Canis lupus familiaris: one gene and its partner. The protein of the gene in region 1 purifies or fractionates together with the protein of each later gene. This does not show direct contact. Links are inferred from orthologs where the notes say so. Each region holds a gene or a part of one and is shown on either strand. Other genes may lie near its edges.

Region 1 (3,654 bases):
CAAAAACAAGAAGACCCACTATTGACCATTCCTGTATTTGATTTTTAAATGTTTGACTCTTGGCAAAAATAAAAAATGCTGTATAAAAAGGCTAGAGAAGCTGTTTGAAATTGACACCACTGATGACTGACTATCCTGTTCTCTGACAGGAATGGTTTCAAGGGGCAACATGTGTGAATGTATTAGTTCATTTCCAACATGTGCCAGTTGTTTGCATAGAAGAGTACATGATAAATATCTTTCTTCCTTATGTTTATTGACAATCATCATTTTTATAAATAATTGAACTTTTGTGCAGACTTAAGTAGCACATTTGTCAAAATGACACCAATTATGTTGTGATTAGCCAGATTCTACTAGTCCCCTACCCTAGCCCCATCCCCATCCCCTCACTAGTCCCCTATCCTCAGCCCCATCCCCATCCCCATCCCCATCCCCATCCCTATCCCCTCACTCCTGGGTCAGGAAGCAGTTGATGTAGGGCCCTTCCGATTTTATCTATCTATCTATCTATCTATCTATCTATCTATCTATCTATCTATCTATTATTTTAAAAAGATTATTTATTTATTTATTCAGAGAGAGATAGAGAGAGGCAGAGACACAGGCAGAGGGAGAAGCAGGCTCCATGCAGAGAGCCCGACGCGGGACTCGATCCTGGGTCTCCAGGATCACAACCCGGGCTGAAGGTGGCACTAAACTGCTGTGCCACCGGGGCTGCCCGCCCTTCTGATTTTAAACACGTGAGGAGAAAATGTTCCTCTTCTGCTCAGAGCAGTTCCTGCTGTGCTACTATCATTTTGTGGAGGACATGTCCACTGTCAAATCTCTCTTCTCTTCTAATGACTGAGCACGTGGTTTTGCCAAAAAGACGAAAAACTAATCACAAGCTTAGCAACTTGGGATGGCTGTTTAATGAGTTAAGAGTACATTCACAGCTGGCTAATGCGGTTATTAAGAGTGTAACAGTACGGGAAACAGGATTTATTTTGTAAATGAATGAATGGTATTTGACCAAATATCTTACAGGTAATTGGCTTTCTGTTGGCATGTGCTGGATCACCTGCTTCAGCTTAGAAACCACAAAAGTTTCGATTCAAGGCAGGCTAGTAACCCTTCATTGTTCGAGAAATACCTTGCTTATAATTTTTGAAAACGTCAAGGCAGAGGTGCTTTCATTCCTATCCCATTTTCATGGCTCAGGCTGTTTTCTTGTACTACTGGGTGTAGGGATCATTCTAAGAAAAACTTGGAACCAATATTTATTCCCCAAATCTGCAATCTAAATATTCACAGTTCATTTTTACAGTCTTAGAATCAGTACAATTTTCATGGAGACTTTCAAATAATTTTTAAGTATTAGATGCATATACTAACCCTTTCCCTTCCTGGGACCTGTCATCCTTCCTTGATAAGTCCCCCACATTGATTGTTTATGTAATATTAAGATATCTAGTCAAGCTCTTGTCCTAGGTTAAAGAGAAAATGATTTTTTGTTTGTTTGTTTGTTTGTTTGTTTGTTACAAGGAGGCTGCCAAAGTACTGGATTATAGGATACTCTGGTTTGACTGCTTGGCTTTTAAATGATCTGCACATCTCCTTGGATCTTTATTTTTGTATGTTGCTGACATTTTCTGGCGGCATTGATATTTTTTGTGTAATTCCTAAAAACAAAACTATGTTGCTGAAAATTTAAAGAAAATCTTCTTATATTGTTTATGGTCATCTTTGGCAAAGAAAAGCTCAGAGTTCCAGAATTTCCAACTTCAAAATTTATCACTCTTCAAGTTTGGGACTAACAGATACAGGAAATACAGAAATACCAAGGTCACACCATTCCAACTCTTGTTGCACAAGAAAAGGATATTTGGGGAGAAATCTCAGAAGAGTGATAGAGTGACTTTCGAGCACAGAATGAAGTGGATGATGCCATTATGGCTTAGAAATAGTTTTGAATATTGTTTAACCCAGTTTTAAGAAGTATAATGAAGGACCTACCCATATATGGGGATGAACATGCTTGGAAAAGTGTCCTAATAATTTTGTGTGTTTGTGGTATTCAATTTGCAGTTTCCTACAGCATTTGAATTCAATGAATATTTTCTCATTACCATTTTGGACCATCTCTACAGCTGCTTATTTGGAACATTTCTGTGTAACAGTGAACATCAGAGAGGAAAAGAGGTAAAATATGTGCTGTGACCCTCCCCCTTCTACTCCCCACATGTGTCATGTTCCCACGAGGGTGCATTCTTAGATAGATTTCAACTGATTGGTTCTTTTGGATAATTTCTTTGGTCAAATTTTATTGCCACATACTGTAGTATGATTACTTCTTTCCACACACCTGAGCCTGATTTGTTTTCAAGTAGCTCTGTTGCGAGGCTGAAGGTGGCAGCTAAATGTCAGGTGAGTTTGTGGGTGAAAAGTAGTGTCTGCTCAAGAGAACTGAGGTATTTGTAATCTTAAGAGCACCAGTGTTATTCGTCAGGCCTTGCAGGATGGAAATCCTTCAAAGCACATGCAGAAAAATGTAGTTAGCAAAACATACACGTATGAATGGACAGTTCAGATCCCCAAATACGTTCTGCATACATAGGAGCCATTTTAATTTTTTTTTTAAATTTTTTTTTAAATTTATTTATGATAGTCACACAGAGAGAGAGAGAGAGGCAGAGACACAGGCAGAGGGAGAAGCAGGCTCCATGCACCGGGAGCCCGACGTGGGATTCGATCCCGGGTCTCCAGGATCGCGCCCTGGGCCAAAGGCAGGCGCCAAACCGCTGCGCCACCCAGGGATCCCCTTAATTTTTTTTTTTAATTTGTAAAATAATACGGTAAAACATCCAAACATTAACAAGACACTATGTAGAAAGTTACCATTTCCTTGCTTCACCAGTGAGATCATTGGTAAGTGGTTGGTATTATTTAAAAGAAACTTCTAAGGATTACATTTCAAGTTTTACTTCTGACCTCAAAGTATCTCTATCCTATATGTATGAAATTCCAAGTCATCTTGATTTGGTGTCTCCCTCTGCATCAGTTTTCATTCTGAAAATGTGATTATCAACTACTTTATTCTTGCTATTCTGTTAAAGCATTATGGGAGGGAGTGGAGCCAGGCTGCCCTGGTTGAAATCTTGGATCTATCTCTTCTTGTGTAACCTTAGGCAAGTTCATTCCTGCTTCGGTAAATTAGGAAAAATAGTACTTACTATTGTGTGGTTAAATAAAACACTAAGGTAACTGCCATGTAGTAGACTGTAAGTTCCTTGAAGGCAGGTATTAAAACATTTTATTTTAAAAGATTGTATCTAGTTAAGCACAGGAGAGGTGGGGAGGGGCAGAGGGAGAAGCAGACTCCCCACTGAGCAGAGAGCCTGACATGGGGCTGATCCCAGGACCCTGAGATCTTGACCTGAGCTGAAGGCAGACTCTTCAGGCGTCTCCAAGCCACCCAAGCGTCCCTTAAAAATGTTAATATACTGTATCTCCAGTGGCTAGCATGCAGTCAGTATTCCTATGCATAGGAGGCATTTAAGAACTTACTGAATGTTAGATAACTAAAAGTACCTAAATTCCAAAGATACTTTTAATCTTTTGAGAGCCTTGAATACGATTTAACTGTATCTTGATTTTAAGAAACTTTTTTTA
Region 2 (3,654 bases), on another chromosome or scaffold:
TCCAATTGCACATTAAGAAAAACAGAGATGGGGAGAAAGAAATGGGTGAAGGTGGTCAAAAGGTATAAACTGATGAACAAATCATGGGATGTAACATACAGCCTGGTGATTATAGTTAACAATACTGTATTATATACTTGAAAGTTGCTAAGAAAGATCTCATCATAAGGAAAACAAATTGGTAACTATATGACATAACAGATGTTAACTAAACTTATTCCAGTATTCATTATGCAATATATACACATGTATCAAATCATTATGTTATACTCCTTAAAATAATACATTATATGTTAATGATATCTTAAAAAAACTGGGGAAAAAATTGAGTGTACACTCTAAAAAACAAACAGGGAAATGGAGCCACATTCTCTAGGAAAGGGAAGATGAAGTGTGCAAGGAAAGCTGGTAAGCACTTTTTTCCAAACCCAGGCATGACTTGCCATTCCTGGGCTGGTCCCAGGTGAACCAGCCATGCCACACACAATCATTTTGAGAGGTTAAGATTTCTCTACATAAATGCAAACTAGTGAATGACAGCTACATGAAGCCAGGCTTAGGAAGAAAACACTGAAAGATTCAAGTTTCTGTGAATGCTGTCCTTATGTGTACAGGACACGGAGCCAAGCCATGAGAGCGGATCCACGCCAGAGAAGGCCACGCTCCAAGGCAGCAAGGATGGGCCGGGACAGCTGGGTTTGCATCAACATACAGCGCTCCCTGAGTGGTGCAGGCAGTCTTCTCCCTCGTCCCGCTGCCCATTCTCCGCAAGTCGAGATAAGTCTTACAAGGACACCGCTACTCAGGGCAAAGTAAACCCAAATTCAAGTGCTGCATTCAGCATAAGTTTCACAACTGAACTCAGTTCCTGAATTTGAGGGGCAGGAAACACAGGGAACTTGTATATTTGGGGAGATGTGATTCCAGTGAATGCTACCTACTGTGATGAAATACAGAAAAAAAAAAACAAGAAGTTGACAGTGTCAACCTCTGAAGGCAGATGCAAGCCAGCGTGACTTGAGGCACTGGAGGGAAATTTTAGAGTGGTCCTACCCCTGAAGAGAGATCCCAAGGGATAGAGAACAATATAACAGTGAGGACTTCTGTCCTTTGTGTTTAATGTGTGTTGGGGGTGGGGAGGGAGTTAGAGTAATTGCAGAGCTGAGGAAAAAGATGATGGAGACACAACTGCACTGCTCCCCCCAACTCAGCCAAATACAGCTCGCACACACATCATTATCCAACGCAGATTCATCATCGCCCAAGAAGGCAATCTTGAAGTCTGTGCACACAAGTTTCCCATAGATCCCACGCTGACAGGAATCCTCCTGGACATACTTCAGCACTGTACTGGCTTCACAAAGCAGCTGTTCACCTGATGGAAACCAAAACAAGTCCTCATTAGAGTCCTCAGGGAATACACAGTATGCAAACACTAAAGGCTTCCCCAGCTCTATGCACGGTAAAGACAAACACATGATATATGGCAGCCCTTCAGAACTCCACACTTGGCAGCACAGCAGGAGCTGCAAATGCCAGGAACGAAGATGAAGCAGAGTAGAGACCACTGATAAGTAAAACCAAAATGGCTCAGCTACACCTCCACATAGCGCACTTCCCTATCTTCTCACTGTGAATAAGGAACATTTCCAATACGTGGAAATGATCTCAGCGATGCTTGCAAGTGCAGACCTCAGTGTTCCTGTCACTTGGGCCCAAGCAGGCGTTCCACAGAAGTGATCCCCTAAATGAATGAAATGAGCAAGGCTCTAGAATATGGAGCTCCAGCCTGAGTTGTGGTGAGAGTGGACCATCATCTCTCACTCTGGAACTGCTAAGAGAAAGCAGGGTGGTTCCCCAGCCACAGGGCTCATAGGCAGCTTCCTCACATAAGAGGTGCAGCAAGACCACATGCACTCTGGCTCCACAGACAAGGATGGGAGGAAAAGGGAGGTCAGAGGTTTGTCGGAAAAAAATGGTTTCCTCTCTTTCTTAGTTGGAGGCTATTTCCTCTCAGTGTGTCACCTTTCCTGCTCCATCTGAGGTGCCCAGCCTACACGAGCAGCTCTATTTCCTGGAGTTAGAGGGGACTTCTTCTCTTTACAGTAGAGATGAGGATTTCAGGATAAGTAAGCATTCACTGCTCCCTGGAAGCAGAGAAGTTCATGAGGGCTGGACATTTGGATGAGAGCAGGAGATGGGTAGGGAAGAAATAAAAAATCAAGTGCAAATGTTTTGTAACAAAAAAGAAAAAGAATTTTCTTCTCTTTCAACAGACAACTATCTCCCCTCAGAATCCCTCTGGATATTATCTTCAATGTCTTTCAATTTATTTTTGGACTCAAAATTCACTTGGTCTAACTTTTAAAATGAAAATAAAGAAGAGTGTCAGACACTGAGACTATGAAGGGATGCCTCTCATGGTATATGTTTCCATCTCCCAAGGAGTTAATTACTCAGGAAATATGGGAGGTGGCTCAGTCACCAGGGCAGCTTCCAGAGGGACCACAGAGCTTGAAGAAAACAATGAATTGGGGCCTCATTAGGGTTTAAAATAGTTCCAGAAAAAGTGCCTCAACTAGTTCAAGATAGAAGATATGTGAACAAGACTTCCCGTGCTTTCAACTCCTAATGTGAAACAGCTTTTAATAGTGAGTATCTCCCTAAGCCCAAGCAAGCCATGTCAGTCCGTGGCCATGCACTGGCAACTAGAGACACCGGAACGCATTGGCTAATACAACATCCCGTGAGGCTCTGCAAGCTCGACGTGCTGCACCATAGCTATCAGCTCACATGTGCAGAGTCTTGAATCATGGAAGGCAGAAGCTGGAAAAGATCATGCTCTAGTCTGGGAAATGGAGGCTGCACAACTAGAAGAGTCCTCAGGTAATACAGAGAATGGGAGAAGGTAACACTAAAATGAAAGTTAGTTTCAGGATCTATGACCCAAGAAAAGGAAGGACAATGTGGTATATGAATTAAGGTTTAAGTCATTATTGTAAAACAAGCAAACAAACAAAACAAAAAACAAAAAACAAAAAACCCTCTGAAACTTAGAAATATTTTTTTTTAATTCCAGGATCCCAATATATTTACCAAAGGTGGATCAGTCAGTAACTTGTACATATTCATATTCTCTCAACAAACTGGAATAAGATAAAAAAAAGTACCAAAATGAGACCTTTATTGGTTTAGGGAAATATACCTTAAAAAACTGACAAAAAAAGCTACTTGGATTAGAAAAAAGAAAATGGAAGAAGAACTGAATGCACAGCCCCAGGAGAGCCCGCACGCATTTAAGGGGATACAACCATCAAGTAGTTTCCGTTTCTGAATTCACAAATGATTAAAGCTTAACCTCAGGTACAGAGTCTCTCTTCCATCTCAAAAATAACTAACCAATTCAGACTCTTAGTGATGATGTCAGAATAAAGCCCCTGCAGGCTCAGGGTTAGTAAACCCCAAGGCTGCCTGGCACTTACACGCTCAGATATGTAAGCAGAGACCACAGGTGAGGCCACCCACCAAAGCTTGCCTGGGGAGGCCTAAGCAGCTGCGCTAGTCCAGGGCAGCTACACCTGGGCAGCAGGAAGAGCATGTGAGATGTAGGGCTCTGTGGGGGACCAGGATTTCCTGAGTGAGGACCAGAATACT

What was found.
Region 2: the proteins of MTMR2 (region 1) and MTMR12 purify together in Homo sapiens (affinity purification with mass spectrometry; 5 studies listed by BioGRID and IntAct, with this or other methods). This does not show direct contact. The link is inferred for Canis lupus familiaris from reciprocal best matches to the Homo sapiens genes MTMR2 and MTMR12.

What each region holds. Positions count from the first base shown.
Region 1 is NC_049242.1:5,388,519-5,392,172, forward strand, and holds part of MTMR2 (myotubularin-related protein 2), read left to right. Parts: intron 1-2,070; coding exon 2,071-2,184; intron 2,185-3,654. UniProt on the Homo sapiens protein: Lipid phosphatase that specifically dephosphorylates the D-3 position of phosphatidylinositol 3-phosphate and phosphatidylinositol 3,5-bisphosphate, generating phosphatidylinositol and phosphatidylinositol 5-phosphate.
Region 2 is NC_049225.1:76,094,505-76,098,158, reverse strand, and holds part of MTMR12 (myotubularin-related protein 12), read right to left. Parts: intron 1,376-3,654; coding exon 1,233-1,375; intron 1-1,232. UniProt on the Homo sapiens protein: Acts as an adapter for the myotubularin-related phosphatases. Regulates phosphatase MTM1 protein stability and possibly its intracellular location. By stabilizing MTM1 protein levels, required for skeletal muscle maintenance but not for myogenesis.